2 linked regions of the Lonchura striata genome follow. The protein of the gene in region 2 interacts with the protein of the main gene of each other region in a pairwise test. Links are inferred from orthologs where the notes say so. Each region holds a gene or a part of one and is shown on either strand. Other genes may lie near its edges.

Region 1 (7,356 bases), on a different chromosome or scaffold from region 2:
AGCATCTCCTCCAGCTCCTCGTCCGTCGTGTTCTTGCCAGCTGCAGGCACGTGGGGAGAGGTGGGAACAAGCCCCACCCAGTCCGGGAATAAGGGGCGGGGTCTGTGCCGCCTGGCTCCTCCCACTTGACCAAACTTGGTCAAATGGGAGGGGCCTGTGTGAGCTGGCTCCTCCCACTTTTTGGAGGAGGTGGGGTTTGGGGTTGGGTCACGCACTGATTTCCAGCTGGCGCTGGATCCGGCCCTTGCTGCGCTCCCGGAAATCCACTTGAGCCTCATTGTACTTGGTCATGACGTCCACGAACTTGCGGGACAGGACCGAGTGCTGGGGACAGGGACAAGGATGTGAGGATGGGGACAGGAACTTTGGGATTGGGACACCACAGGGCACGGTGTGACGCTGAGGGACATGGAACACCCCAGGCATGTTATATCCCCATGGGGCATTTTCACAGGGGACAGGAGCGAGGAGAGAGGTGTGACACTGCCCAGGGGACAAGCTGAGGTGCTGAGGGCGGGGATGGGAATTCAGATCAGTGACACTCTGGGCATGGCATGTTCCTGGTCCCAGGATGGACATGCTGGGAGTGGGGACAGTGGCATGAGAGCCAGGGGACCCTGGATGTAGCATGTCCCAGCACAGGGCGACATGACAGAGGGTTGGGGACAGAGCAGAGGGTCACAAAGCCTGGGATCACAGGGTGCTGTTGGGGATAGAATTGGGAGACTTGGGGCTCCTGGACATGCCACATGCCCAGTCCGTGGGGTACAGGGTGGGACCTGGGGATGCAGGCTGTGGGCCAGAGCTCACCTGGGACTTGCGTATCCGGAGGTCGGCTGAGGATCGTGCCTCGTCCTGCTCGATGTTCCTTTCCATACCTGGAGAGAGACAGACCTCAACCCACCAGGAACCTTTCCCACTGCCAGCCCCCATGATCCAGAGTCCCACGGGGATCAGGACACCCGTGACACGAAGGTGGGGACAGGGCCACTCACTCTTCAACTTGTTACGGACGCTGTTGGCCATTTTCTTGATCTCTGCCGTCAGCTGCTCCAGGTCATCTTTGGTCTCTGTGGGATCACGGGTGTGAGCCACCCTGGGAATGTCCCCGGGGGGGGCCCCGTGACTGACCCTGGGGACACTGTGACAGCACTCACTCTGCTCTGGGATGGGGGCTGAGAGGATGATGCTGTAGAGCTTCTTGGCTTCCTCCACGTTCTCTGAGATCTTGTCGATGTTCTGCCGGGTCTCCTCAATCTGGGCACCCCCGGGAGGATTTTGGGGGGTTAAGAGGCAGCCCTACACCCCCCAGCCCCACCCCCAACCCTCCCTCACCTCTGAGAAGAACTCATCCATGAAGGCCGTGTTGTCCACGGCGATCTCCAGCTCCTCCTCATCGTCCGCATCCTGCTTCTGCTGGGACACGGCGCTCAGGGGGGACCCCGTGCCCTGCCAGCACCCCCAGGGCCCCCCACGGGTGACAGGGACACGGGGGGAGTAGCCATGGGGGATGTGGTGGCACAGGGGGGGACATCTGCAGCGGGGGAGAGCAGGGGGGCCGAGCCCAGCTCACATCTGGCCACACGTGGCTGGAATTAAGGGATTGCTGGGCTTGGCCAGAGGGAGGGAACGGGGACAGCGACGGGATGGGGACGGGACGGGGTTTATGTCCCAAACCGTGGCCCCATGGCAGGTCTGGGGCAGCCCTGGGGGGCACGAAGGTGGCTGGTGCCCTTCACCCTGGTATCGTGTCCAGGCCCCCTCCCCTGTGCTCCCAAATCCCGCCCTTCCCAAAACTCAGCCTCAACCTTTCTGCCTCCCCTCACCCCCTCAGCTCCACCAGCACCCCAAGGTGTTGTTGGGGTGTCCTGGGGATGGGGACAAACCCCAGGCTGGGACCCCCCACTCCCTCCTCCTGCTGCTGGAGTAAAAATAAAATTAATCCCTTCAGTCCCCACCGAGGGCTTTATCTGATGGCTCCATAATCCCGGTAAATCCCTGCCAAGCCTCCCTGCCATGCCTAGGGGCCCGGCCGGGAGCTGGGGGCCTGCTGGGACCCCCACAGTCCCCGGGGAGCAGGGGGAGCCCCCCAGGAGCGGGGGGAAGCGGGGCCCCACACAGAGCGGGAAAAGGGAGAAGGAAGCGGCGCTGGTGGCGGGAACACGGGGAAGTGTGGGGTGCAGAATGGGGTGTGGACACCCCAAATCCACCGCCTCCCCCGCGGGATGGACACCCCCCACGGGCCGGGGGGCTGCTGTCCCCTCATCACACCCCACGGCGTGAAGGGATTGGACTCGGCTGGGGGGATGTCACGTCACCCCAAAACACCCAGCGTGCCCCCAAACTGCACGGGGATGACCTCCCCCCGGTCCCTCCCATCTGTCACCCCCGTTGTACAGAGCTCAGGGTCCCCCACCTGCCGTGGGGTGACCCCCGTGACACCCCACACCCAGCAGGGTGGGTCTCGGTGCCGTCCATCCCGTGGCGTCCTCGCCCTTCATGGACTGGGGTGTCCCCGAGACCCCAGCCCACTGTGGGATGGGGTCTGAGTCCCCCCATCCCCGTGACACCCCCACGCACCGTGGGGTGGCGTTTCAGTGACATCAACCCCGTGACGTCCCCATCCACCCCAGGCTCGGTTTTTGGGGTCCCCTCTCCCCGTGATGTCCCCGGCCACCATGGGGTGGGGTCTCGGGGACCCCCATCCCGGTGTCACCCTTTTCCCGAGGGTCCCCCTGGGGGAGTCCCCCGTCCCCTCCCCACGCCGGGGGTCCCTCACCGCCTTGAGCTGCTCCAGCCGGTCCTTCATGGTGCCCCCAAAGGCTGGGGGGGCGCGGGGGGGTCCCCGTCCTCGCCCAGCGCAGGGATGGGCGATGTCACCCTCGGTCCTCGCCGCTCGGCCGGGCCTCCTACATCCAGGCGAGGTGGCGGGTGGCCCTGTCCCCCGTGCCTGTCGCCGAGGCCGGGGCTGTCCCTGCGCTAATCCCCAGTGACGGGCGCGGGGAAGGCGCCGAGGGGAGGGACGCGGTGGAGCCGCCCCTTCACCTGGGACGCGCGGGGACACCGGACCCGCCGGAGCCGGCAGCTGCGGGTGGCCCCGGGCACCCCGGGAGGTGACAGGGGTGGGGGAGGATGTGGGTTTGGAGGCCATGAGGAAGCTGATCCCCCTCGGGGGTCACACGGTGAGGACGTGTCACCCCCTGCCACGTGTGACTGCAGCGGGAGCGCGGCTGGGGACAGGGAGCACGGCTGGGGACGGGGAACACGGCCGGGGGGACGCAGCTGGGGACACGGGGGGCGTGGATGTGGGTCACAGCTGGGGACGTGGCTGGGGGCGGGGGGACAAGTCTGTGGATAGGGGACACATCTGGGGACACAGCTGTGATCTCAGGACGCGGCTGGGGGACGCGGCTGGAGACGGGACATGAGCAGGCATAGGGGACAGCTTGAGGACATGTCTGCAGTTAGGGGACACACTGAGGGTCCTGACTGGGGACAGGGGGAGACACGGCTGGGGACGGGGGACGCGGGTGTGGGCATGACCGCGGGTGGGACAGGGCTGGGGACAGGGCTGGGCGGGCAGTGCTGGGGCTGGGGATGGGGTGGCATTGGCTATGGCCGGGGTGACACCGGGGGTCACGGCTGCGGGCGGGGACGCACGGGTGTCACCGGGAGAAAAAGGGACGCTACTCCTTTAAGAAATATAGAGAGGAGGCGTGGTCTATAGTGGGCGTGGTCTGTGTTGGCCCCGCCCCCTAGCCGACGGGTGGGTCGCGGGGCGGTGGCGGGGATGACGTCATGCGGCTGCGCCCGCGGCGGCGCATGCGCGGCGGGGCGCGGGGCCTGGCGGGGCGGCGCGGAGCCTGCGGGCGGGGGGCGCCGGCGCCGCCATGTTCCGGTACCCGGTGAGCGGGGAGGGGCCGGCGGGGCGGGCGGGGCCCCGCGGGGCTCCGCGGGGCTGCAGGAGAGCCGTGCGGCACGGCACCGGGGCGGTGTAACGGGGTGGGGGGGGTGTAACGGGCTGGGGCGGGGGAAGTGAAATGAGTTGGGGAGGGCGGCTGCTGACGGGCTGGCAGGGGGTGTGAGGGGGGCTCCGGGCTGGCAGGAGGAGTCTGGGGGCACTGGGCACCTGCAAGGGGCTGGGGGAGCCATAACGGGAGGGGTCACGCTGTGGGTCTGCAGGGGTCACTGCAGGGGAGATGTGACGGCTTGGGGGAATCCCTGCATGGCAGTAATGGCTGGGGGCATTGCCAGGGGTGGGTAATGGGGCTGGGGGGGTATCGCTGGCTGGGGGGGTGTGTTGTGTAGGTATGATGGGCTGCGGGGTCATCACGGAGGTGAAGTGGGGCTGACCCCGTTCCCGGCCGTCCCAGTCCCTGGAGGACTGCCCGCTGGACGAGGATGAAGACGCCTTCCAGGCCCTGGGGGAGGAGGATGAAGACATCGACCAGTTCAACGATGACACCTTCGGGGCTGGGGCTGTCGGTGAGACCCGGGGTGTCGCCCCCAGCCCTCCCTGACCCCACAGATGCCCCCGGCCCGCGTCCCTCACCCTGTGCCCCCTCGCAGACGATGACTGGCAGGAGGCCCACGAGCGGCTGGCGGAGCTGGAGGACAAGGCCGGCTCGAGCCGGGAGCCGGATGGTCCCGTTGGGAACGACGGGGACGTGCTGGGCGATCCCGAGGATGCGCTGGCCGAGCGGCTCACCCGCCTCGTCATCGACAGCGAGCTGGAGGACCCGGCCATCATGCAGGCCGTGCACACCAGGGATCCCCCGCAGGTGGGAGCGGGCTGGGGGAGCTGGGGGGATGTGGGGGTGGATCCCACAGCGCCGTCCTGACTCTCCCTGTGCTCTGCAGCAGCCTGGAAGGCTGAATTCCAGCATCTGGGACAGTTCCGCCATGCTGCGGCGCATCCGGGGGCCGCTCCTCACTCAGGTAGGGTGCTGGGGGCAGGGGGCTCTTCCCTGCTGATCCCAAATGCCTGTGGCAGCCAGCTGGGTGGGATAGACTACTCCTGGGATATTGGAGTGTCCTGTTTCCCTCTGCTGCATCCGTGCCTTGTGGGGGACCCTCATAGCTGTCACCTTCTGTCCACCCTTGGACCCTGGAGGGCTGGGATGATGGGCTTTGCTGTTCTTGGATGCCTGGTGATGTCTGAGGGATTTCAGGGCTCTCAGCAGGATTTGGGAATGTTCATGCCTGGAGGCAGAGGATTTTTGTGTTGTGGTTTCATTAAGAGTCAGGCTTTGAAGTGCTGCGTGTCCAACCCTCTCCCAACCCTTTCCTGGCTCTGCCGGGCTGGGAGGTGACCCAGGCTTCTCGCCCCACGCCCTGTTATCCCAAACAGAGTGCTCTTGGCAGTCACGTGTGCTCTGGGAATGCCCAGCGTCGCACGGAGATGCCAGGGAAGCACAGTGGGACATGGAGAGCTGGCAGGAGGAAGAGGGGACGCTGACCCTCCTCCGTATGCCAGCCCGTGACTCCAGGGGGTGTCCCGCCCATTCTCCTGCAGGAGATGCCGTCGGTGTCCGTGCTGGATTATGCCCTGCCCCAGAGGCCGCCGCAGGCTCGGGATGAGGAGCGGGATCCATCGGAGCGGGCGCTGCCCCGGCGCTCCTCCTCCCCCATCATCGGGAGCCCCCCGGTCCGGGCCATTCCCATCGGCACCCCCCCCAAACAGGCCGCCATCCCAAACTTCAACCAGCAGGTATCCGTTTCCTCGCTTCCCAACTTCCTACTGCTCCCAAGGGTGCAGGCTGCTTCCCAGGGGGAGTGACTGTGCCACTTGCCTCCTCCCAGATCCTGTGTCCCAAGCCTGTCCACATCCGAGCTACCATGCAGCAGCGTTATCCTGCTCCCTATGGAGAGAGGATGTCCCCCAACCAACTCTGCAATGTTCCGGTATCCAGCTTTCCCTCCTCCATCTTTTTTGGAATTGATGCCGAGCCCTCACAAAACTTCCCTGTGTTCCTGTGCCTCATCCCCACCCCAGGGAGCTTGGCTTTCCTGGGGTTTGTCCTGTTTGCCAGCCATGGTCTGTGACTGGGGTCCCTTTTCCCAACTCTTTCCCCAGAATTCCTCCCTCCTGGGCCACCCGTTTCCCCACAGCGTGTCTCCTGTTCTCACACACCTGCAGAGAGCCCAGCTGCTCGGAGGAGCCCAGGTAAAGCTTCCCGTGCTTTATCCCACCTTTCTCTCTGCGTGGCTCCAGGACCTGGCATTCCATGGCTCTTGTTGGCCATCCCAGACCCTTTTCCCGCCTAGCTGACTCCAGGTGTCCTCTCTGCCCCTCCAGGCTGGCCGAATGTCCCCCAGCCAGTTCGCCCGGGTGTCCGGGCTGGTGGGGAGCCCACTGCCCTCCGTGAATCCCAAGCTGCTCCAGGGCAGAGTTGGGCAGATGATGTCCCCGGCCGGAGGGTTCCGTGCCTTTTTCGGGGCTCCCCCCGCCCCGCCCCCGTCGCAGCTGCCGCACCCTCCGGGCCCCGGATCCCACCTGCAGAACCTGAGGTCGGTGCTGTCCCTGTCCCGGCATCCCAGCCGCTCCCTGCATCCCTCCCTGACCGTTCCCGCTCTCCCCAGGCCACAGCCCCAGATGTTCCGGCCGGACACGACCCATTTGCACCCCCAGCACCGCCGGCTCCTGCACCAGCGGCAGCAGAACCGGAAGTGAGTGCGGGGACGGGGACGGGGCCGCGCGGCACGGGGACGTGTCCTGCTTCCGGGGTCACCTGTCCCCCCCCTCTCTGTCCCTTCCTGTAGCTCCGGTGTGCTCACGGGTGCCCTTCTTCTCCTGCCAGCCAGCACCGGAGCCTCAACGGCTCCGGGGGGGACCGAGGGGGCCACCGGAGCAGCCATCAGGAGCAGATCCGTAAGGATCCCTACGCCAACCTCATGCTGCAGCGGGAAAAGGACTGGGTGTCCAAGATCCAGATGATGCAGCTGCAGAGCACTGATCCCTACCTGGATGATTATTATTATCAGGTACTCAGGAGCAGCATCTTCCCCCTGTTCATTGGATATCAGGTGGGAAGGGGATGTCAGTTCAGGGAGAACTGCAATGGGTTGTTTTCCTCCCTGGAAGAGGAAGGCAGTGGGACAGGGTGGGATCAGCGTCACTGGGAAGAGCTGACTCCTTCTTGGGCAAGATTTCCAGGAGTGAGGAGATGTTGGGATAGACTGGTTTTATAGGTCTGGGATAACAGGAGAGCAGGTCATCTCCATCAGAAGCGTGACAGAGCCAGGATAAAACCCCTGGAATGAGACAAGGGAGATGGTAAATGGAAAACTCAAGAGAGATCCTTGTCAGGGAAAGGTTGACTTTAGTCTGACTGGGAATGGTGGTGATGAACCCTG
Region 2 (7,330 bases):
TCCCCATCTCCCACCCGGAATTCCATAAAATCCCCATCTCCCACCCGGAATTCCACTTTTATCACCCAAATTCTAGTCTGAATTCCAAAAAATCCCCATCTCCCACCTGGAATTCCACTTTTATCACCCAAATTCTAGTCTGAATTCCATAAAATCCCCATCTCCCACCCGGAATTCCATAGATATCCCCATCTCCCACCCAGAGTTCTGCTTTTATCTCCCAAATTCCAGTCGGAATTCCAAAAAATCCCCATCTCCCACCCGGAATTCCATAGAAATCCCCATCTCCCACCTAGAATTCTGCTTTTATCACCCAAATTCCCTCTGAATTCCATAAAATTCCCATCTCCCACACAGAATTCCCCTTTTATCACCTGTAATTCCCCCAAAATTCCACAAAATTCCCATTTCCCACCCAGAACCCCCCCCAAAATTCCCTTTCCCCCCCGGAATTCCCAGGAATTCCTGGCTCACCGAGGTTGTTGGCGGCCAGGGCGGAGACGGGGGCGCGGGAGAAATGTTCCCGACGGCTGCGCTGCTGCTTCAGGTTCTGGGGCAAAACCAGGGGAAAATGGGGAAAAAGGTGAGAGAAAATGGGGGGGAAATGTGGAGAAAATGGGGGGAAAATGGGGAGAAATAGGGGGAAAAATGAGGGGGAGAAAGAGCAAAGAAAGGGGGAAAATATGGGGAGAGAAGAGAAAAATGGGGAGAAATTGGGAAAATGTGGAATAAGGAGAAGAACAGAATTGGAGAAAGAGAAGAAAAAGTGAGAAAGCAGCAGAAAAGTGAAAAAAAGAAAAGTGAAGGAAAAGGAAAAATCAGGAGCAGAAAAAAGCGGGAAAAGGATAAAAAATTGTAACAACAAGAACAAGAAAAAAAATGAGAAATGAGCAAAAAGGTAAAAATGGGAAAAGAGGAAGGGAGCGAGCAAAGAGAAAAAAGAAAAAAGAGGGAAAGGAAAAAAGAGGGAAAGGAAAAAAGAGGGAAAGGAAAAGCTGCAGCAGCCCCGCTCACCTCTGTCCGCACCTCCAGCACCGATTTGAAGTCGTTGGACATCGAGGCCAGTTTGGACTGGGGAGGGAGGGTGGGGGGTCACTGGGGGGCCCCTGAGCTCCCAAAACCCCCCAAAAAATCCCCCGAACACCCTCCAAAGCCGCCCCAAAAAATCCCCCAAAAAACCCCCAAAACCTCCCCAAAAACTCCCAAAGGCCCCCCAAAAACACCCCCCAAACCCCCCAAAAACCCCAACAAAACTCCCAAAAACCCCCCAAAACCCACCCAAAACCCCCATACCTCCCAAAAAAACCCCAAAACTCCTCTAAAACCCTCAAAAGTCCTAAAAACCCCCCCAAAACCCCAAAACCTCCCAAAAACCCCCCAAAGAAAACCCCAAAATCCAAAACCACCCCCAAAAAAACCCCCAAAAACCCATAGGAACCCCCTAAAAAACCCACCCAAAAATCCCCCAAACCCCCCCAAGAGTCCGAAAATCCCCCCAAAATCCCCCGAAGCCCCCGGCCCACCTGCAGGGAGAGCAGGACGCCGCTGGAGTGGCTCTGCAGGTGCCGCCCGCCGGGGCCGCGCCGCGCCCGCAGCAGCTCCTGCAGCGCCGCGATCTGCGCGTTCAGGCTGCCCATGTCCTGGGGGGCACGGGGGTCAGGGGCACCCCAAAACCCCCCCACAAAAACCCCCCAAAACCCCCCGACCCCCACCCGCACCTGTTTGATGATGTAGGTCAGCTCCTCGATCTCCACGGATTTGTCGTCGAACAGCGACTTGCGCTTGGCCACTGCGGGGGGGTCAGCGGGGTCACAGAGACCCCCAGAGACCCCCCAAATCCCCCCAGGACCCCCCAAATCCCCCAGAGACCCCCCCAAATCCCCCCTGAGACCCCCTAAATCCCCCCTGACACCCCAAATCCCCCCTGAGCCCTCCCAACTCCCCCGTGAGCCCCCAAATCCCCCCTGACCCTCCCAAAGCCCCCCAGAGACCCCCAAATCCCCCCAGGACACCCCCAAAGCCCCCCAAAGCCCCCCGGACCCCCAAGCCCCCCGCTCACGCAGGGTCAGCTTCTCCAGCTTGGCGAAGGTGTTGCTCAGGTCCTTCCCGATGCGCCTGGGGGGAGGGGGGGGCAGGGATTGGGGGGGGTCTGCAGACCCCCGCCCCAATTCCTCGGGACCCCCACCCACATCTGGGGACCCCCACCCCAATTCCCGGAGATCCTGACCCCAAATTCTTGGAGACCCCCACCCCAGTTCCTGCTGATCCTGACCCACCATACCCGGGGACCCCCACCCCAATTTCTGGGGATTCCAACCCCCAATTCCTGGAGACCCCCACCCCAATTCCTGGAGATTCCAACCCCCAGTTCTCAGGAACCCCCACCCCAATTCCTGCTGATCCTGACCGCCCACACTCGGCGACCCCTACTCCCAGATCCTGAGGACCCCAACCCCCAATTCCCAGAGACCCTGACCCCAAATTCCTGGACACCCCCGGCCCCATTCCGGGGGACCCCCACCCCAATTCGGGCTAATCCTGACCCGCCGTACCTGGGGACCGCCACCCCAATTCCCGGGGATCCCGAGCCCCGATTCCTGGGGGACCCCAACCCCGAATTCCCGGGTTCCCAGACCCCTCCTCACTTTGCCATCAGGCTGAACTCGCTGCGCGGCCGCCCCGGCCCGGGCCCGGCCCTGCCCGCCGGGAGCCCCCGGTCCTGGGGGGGAACCGGGGAAAACGGGGGGTCAGGGGGGACCCCCGGGATGGGGGGGGTGGGGGTTTGGGGAGACCCCCGGTAATTCCCGGGGGGTTTGGGGAGACCCCCCGGTAATTCCCGGGGGGTTTGGGGAGACCCCCGGTAATTCCCGGGGGGTTTGGGTGCCGGGGTCACCTGGCGGCCCTGCAGCGATTGGCAGGCGGAGAGGAACTCCTGGGTCCTGTCGCGACACGACATGACGTCGGCGGGCGGCGGCTCCGGGGGCGCGGGAGGCGCCGCCGCCGCCCGGGGGGGCGCCGGGGCCGCGCCCGGTTCGCGCTGCCTAGGCCCGAGCCGGCGGCGCGCCTGCATCGGGGCTCATCGCCTGCCCTGGGACACCGGCGGCACCGGTTACCGGCGGCGGAACGGGGCGCGCCGGGAGCCCCCCGCGAACCGGCGCCGCCCCGGAGCCCCCGAGGGGTCCCGGTGCCGCCCCTCCCCCCTCACCGCGGGCTCGGCCGCCGCCACCGGGAGGCTCCGGCCGCGCTGACGTCACTGCCACGTCCGTTCCGCCGGAAGTGCCGCCGGCACCGGAACAGAACTCCCCGGTACTTCCGGGAGGGGACGGGGAGAGGCCACGCCCCGGTGAGGGCGGGGATGGGAACCACGCCCGCTGAAACGGGGCCCGCCCACTGCAACGCCTCCCGCCGGCGGGGAATGGCGGGAACGGTATGCAAATGAGACCCCGCCCCCCAAACCGGAGCGGGAATGGCGGCCCCGAGCCCGGGGACACCGGGAGGGGCGGGGCCCCGCCCCCAGCAAAGAGTCCCGATTTGATTGGTGGAATTGATCTGCCCCAGCAACAGGCCCCGCCCCTAGCAACGAGCTGTGCCGCGATCTGATTGGTGGAATTGATCTGCCCTTGCATAAAGCCCCGCCCCCAGCAACGAGCTGTGCCGCGATCTGATTGGTGGAATTGATCTGCCCCAGCAACAGGCCCCGCCCCCAGGAACGAGCCCCCCCCCCCCCAATGGCGCCGTTCCCCGTGACGCCCCGGTGACGTCAGGGCCCGGTTCCGGTACGGCGGGACGGACACAGAGGCTCAGGCGGAATCCGCGGTTCCTTTATTGGGGCGGGGGGAGCGGGGAGGGTCCCATGGGCGGCGGCGGCGCCTCCCGCCGGTCGCGGCGCTGGTCCCGGTGCTCGCGGGGCTCCCGCAGCGGCTGGTCCCGGTGTGCGGCGGGCCCGCCTCACTCCTCGCGTTTGCGGTAGTCCTGGATGTGGCCCAGCACCCAGGCGGCGGGCCCGAAGATGGACACGAACACGGCGGCCAGGCCCAGCACGGTGTCCTGCGGGGACGGCGCCGTTAGAGCCGCGCCGGTCACCGGGGCCCGGCCCCGCCCGGGTCACCCCGCCCCCCCCCGCTCACCGCGGTGCTGACGGGGCTCAGCGCGGGCCCGGAGCGGAGCCCGCGCGGGGCCGGGCCCGGCCGGGCCGCGGCGCGCAGGACGGAGCGGGCGAGGAGGGCGGCGGGCGGCAGCATGGCGGCGGCGGCGCGCTCTGACGTCACTTCCGCCGCGCGCCGCTACGTCCCGCCATGGCCACGCCCCCTCGTTAACATAATTTATTCGTAGCCGCGCGAGTTGCTGCGCTGCTCATTAGCATAGCCCCGCCTCTCCCGCGCACGGCCACGCCCCCAGCGCAAGAGCCTCAATTGACGTTTATTTATTTATTTATTTATTTATCCCGTACAAACAAAACGGCTGAAAAAAAAAAAAAAGGAAAAAATAAAACAGAAATAGAAATAAAATAGAAATAGAAATAAAATAGAAATAGAAATAAAATGGAAAAAAAAAATAGAAAGAAAAAATAAAATAAAAATAAAGAATAAAATAAAAATAAAATAAAAATAAAATACGAATCCAGCACAAAAATCCCCCTCCCCGCCCAGCGCCGCGCCGCCGGCACGGGGGGAAGGGCCGTTTGTGTCACCCGCCCCGGGGGTCCCGCCGGGCGGGCGCGGGGCTGTTTTTGGGGGGCTCAGTGGCAGCAGCCGGCGCAGGGGCCCCCCCCGGGGTGGGGGTCCCCGAACCTGGTGCTGCGGCTCAGGATCTCGTAGGAGGAATCGTCCCCGCAGCAGCCGGACACGCTGGGGGAGGTGGCGTCCACCTCGAACCTGGGGGGACACGGGGGGGACACGGGGTCACCGCCACCCCCCTGAGCCCCAAGGATCCTTCCTGACCCCCCAAAACGCCCCCTGACCCCCAGAAACCCCCCGGGACCCCCTCCTTGTCACCCTGACCCCCCCACATCACCCCCCAGGCTGGCAGTGGGAGGGGATGGGAGGGGAAAGGCTGGGGGGGGGGAGCAGCACCCAAAAAAGGGTAAAAAACCCCAAAAATCAGAGGAGAAAGGGTTAAAAACCATCTGGGGAAAAGGGGTTGAAAGCCTGGGAAAATGGGTGGAAAACAAGCAAAAAATGGAAAAATGGAATAAAGGGAAATGTAAAATGTCCTTGGAAATTTGGGGTTAAAAATGCCAGATTTGGGTAACGGGAAGCAGAAAAAAGGTTGTGGAAATTGGTGGGAAAAGGGGAAAAACTTTTGGAAAAGTGGGTTAAAAAAGATGAAAAAGAAGCATGGGGGAAAATCTTGGAAAAGGGACTAAAACCTTGAAAAAAGGGTTTGTAAAATCCTCAGGAAAGGACCAAAACCCCCAAAAATGTGTTTAAAAAACTAACAGAGAGTTAAAATTATTTCTCTAAAACTAGGGAAAGAAAACATAAAATGAGCTTAAAATTCCCCCAGAAAAGGACCAAAACAACCCAAAAAATTAATATAGAACCTATAAATATAGGCTTAAAATAAATATAGAAAAGGATAAAAGCCTTGGTATAAAAAAATAGAAGGGAAAAGGGAAAAAATGTTGGAGAATTAGTTTCAAACAGCTGAAAAAAACAACTGCAAATGGGTTAAAATACCCAAAATGGGTTTTTTAAGGATCCAAAAGGGGATCCCAAACTGACAGCAAAATGACCAAAAACAGGGAAATTTTCCCCAGAATGGCCTTCGAAAGCCCCGAATTTGGGTCCCGAGCACCCACCTCTGTCTGTGCCCCTGCCCCGCCTGCCCGCGGCGCCCGGTCACTGCAACGACAGGGTGCCACAGCTGTCACAGCTGTCCCCGGTGTCCCCCCGTGTCCCCTCCCGGTGCCGGTGTTCCCGGTGTCCCCGGTATCCCCCGGTGTCCCCGGTGTCCCCCGGTGTCCCCCGGTGTCCCCGGTGTCCCCGCACTCACTGCAGCGCCTCGCGGAAGAACTGCAGCGCGCCGTGGTTGTGCTTGAACACCGTCAGCATCACCTTCTTCATCTGCGTGCTGCGGGCACGGGGCGCGGGTCACCCCAAAACCGGACTGGGAACCCCAGAACCGGACTGGGAACCCCAAAACCGCCCCAGGGAACCCCAAAACCGCCCCAGGGAACCCCAAAACCAGACTGGGAACCCCAAAAACCGGACTGGGAACCCCAAAAACTGCCCTGCATCAGCTCCAAAATGCCCTGGTTTCACCCCAAAAACCAGCCCCATGGTACCCCAAAGAATGCCCCGGTTTCACTCCAAAAGCTTCCCTGGTTGGGCTCCAAACTGCCCTGGTTTCACCCCAAAAATTGCCCCAGTTTCACCCCAAAAACCAGCCTGGTAGAACCCCCAAAACTGCCCCCGTGGAACCCCCAAAACTGCCCTGCTTTGGCTCCAAGCTGCGCCGGTTTCACCCCAAAAAACCGGCCCAGTGGCATTCTCAAAACTGCCCTGGGTTCACCCCAAAACACCCCCAGTTCCCCCCCAAACTGCCCCATTTCACCCAAACTCCCCCTGGTTCTGCCCCCAAACCTCCCCCAAACCCCATCACATCCCCCCCAAATCCCCCCGACACCCAGATTCCCCCAAAACCCCCTCCCTTCCCCCCAAATCCCCCCCAAACCCCCTCCATTCCCCACAACCCCTCCAGAATCCCCCAAAATCCCCATCAGTCCCCCCCAAACCCCCCCAGTTTCCCCCCAGACCCCTCTGACCTGTTGGCCACCAGCTGCAGGATCTGCAGCAGGAACTTGCCCAGCCCCCTCCTCCTCACCCGGCTCTCCAGCTGCACCTCATAGCTGCAGGAGGGACACCCCAAAAACCCCCTGAGACCGGGGAACAGACACCCCAAAAACCCCCTGAGACCAGGGAACAGACACCCCAAAACCCCCTGAGACTGGGGAACAGACACCCCAAACCCCCCCTGAGACCGGGGAACAGACACCCCAAACCCCCCCTGAGACCGGGGAACAGACACCCCAAAACCCCCCTGAGACCGGGGAACAGACACCCCAAAACCCCACTGAGACCCGGGAACAGACACCCCAAAACCCCCCTGAGACCGGGGAACAGACACCCCAAAACCCCCCTGAGACCCAGGAACAGACACCCCAAAACCCCCTGAAACCTGGGGATAGACACCCCAAAACCCCCTGAAACCTGGGGATAGACACCCCAAAACCCCCTGAGACCCGGGAACAGACACCCCAAAACCCCTTGAGACTGAGGAACAGACACCCCAAAACCCCCTGAGACCGGGGAACAGACACCCCAAAACC

Evidence for each region. The genes of interacting proteins can lie anywhere in the genome.
Region 1: the proteins of STX5 (region 2) and STX3 interact in binary tests that used the Homo sapiens proteins (3 or more experiments, as listed by UniProt). The link is inferred for Lonchura striata from reciprocal best matches to the Homo sapiens genes STX5 and STX3.

What each region holds. Positions count from the first base shown.
Region 1 is NC_134608.1:53,791,687-53,799,042, forward strand, and holds the start of STX3 (syntaxin-3), read right to left. Parts: upstream 3,011-7,356; 5' UTR 2,810-3,010; coding exon 2,780-2,809; intron 1,414-2,779; coding exon 1,336-1,413; intron 1,258-1,335; coding exon 1,158-1,257; intron 1,071-1,157; coding exon 996-1,070; intron 879-995; coding exon 811-878; intron 325-810; coding exon 216-324; intron 41-215; coding exon 1-40. Other genes in the region: PATL1 (protein PAT1 homolog 1), read left to right, coding at 3,150-3,182, 4,374-4,485, 4,570-4,781, 4,861-4,938, 5,516-5,710, 5,803-5,904, 6,077-6,166, 6,299-6,510 and 2 more. UniProt on the Homo sapiens protein: Potentially involved in docking of synaptic vesicles at presynaptic active zones. Apical receptor involved in membrane fusion of apical vesicles.
Region 2 is NC_134638.1:359,375-366,704, reverse strand, and holds the start of STX5 (syntaxin-5), read right to left. Parts: upstream 3,015-7,330; 5' UTR 2,957-3,014; coding exon 2,894-2,956; intron 2,720-2,893; coding exon 2,646-2,719; intron 2,116-2,645; coding exon 2,060-2,115; intron 1,790-2,059; coding exon 1,719-1,789; intron 1,641-1,718; coding exon 1,524-1,640; intron 1,072-1,523; coding exon 1,015-1,071; intron 551-1,014; coding exon 475-550; intron 1-474. Other genes in the region: NAA40 (N-alpha-acetyltransferase 40), read right to left, coding at 4,432-4,461, 4,791-4,874, 5,801-5,843, 5,995-6,072, 6,767-6,850. UniProt on the Homo sapiens protein: Mediates endoplasmic reticulum to Golgi transport.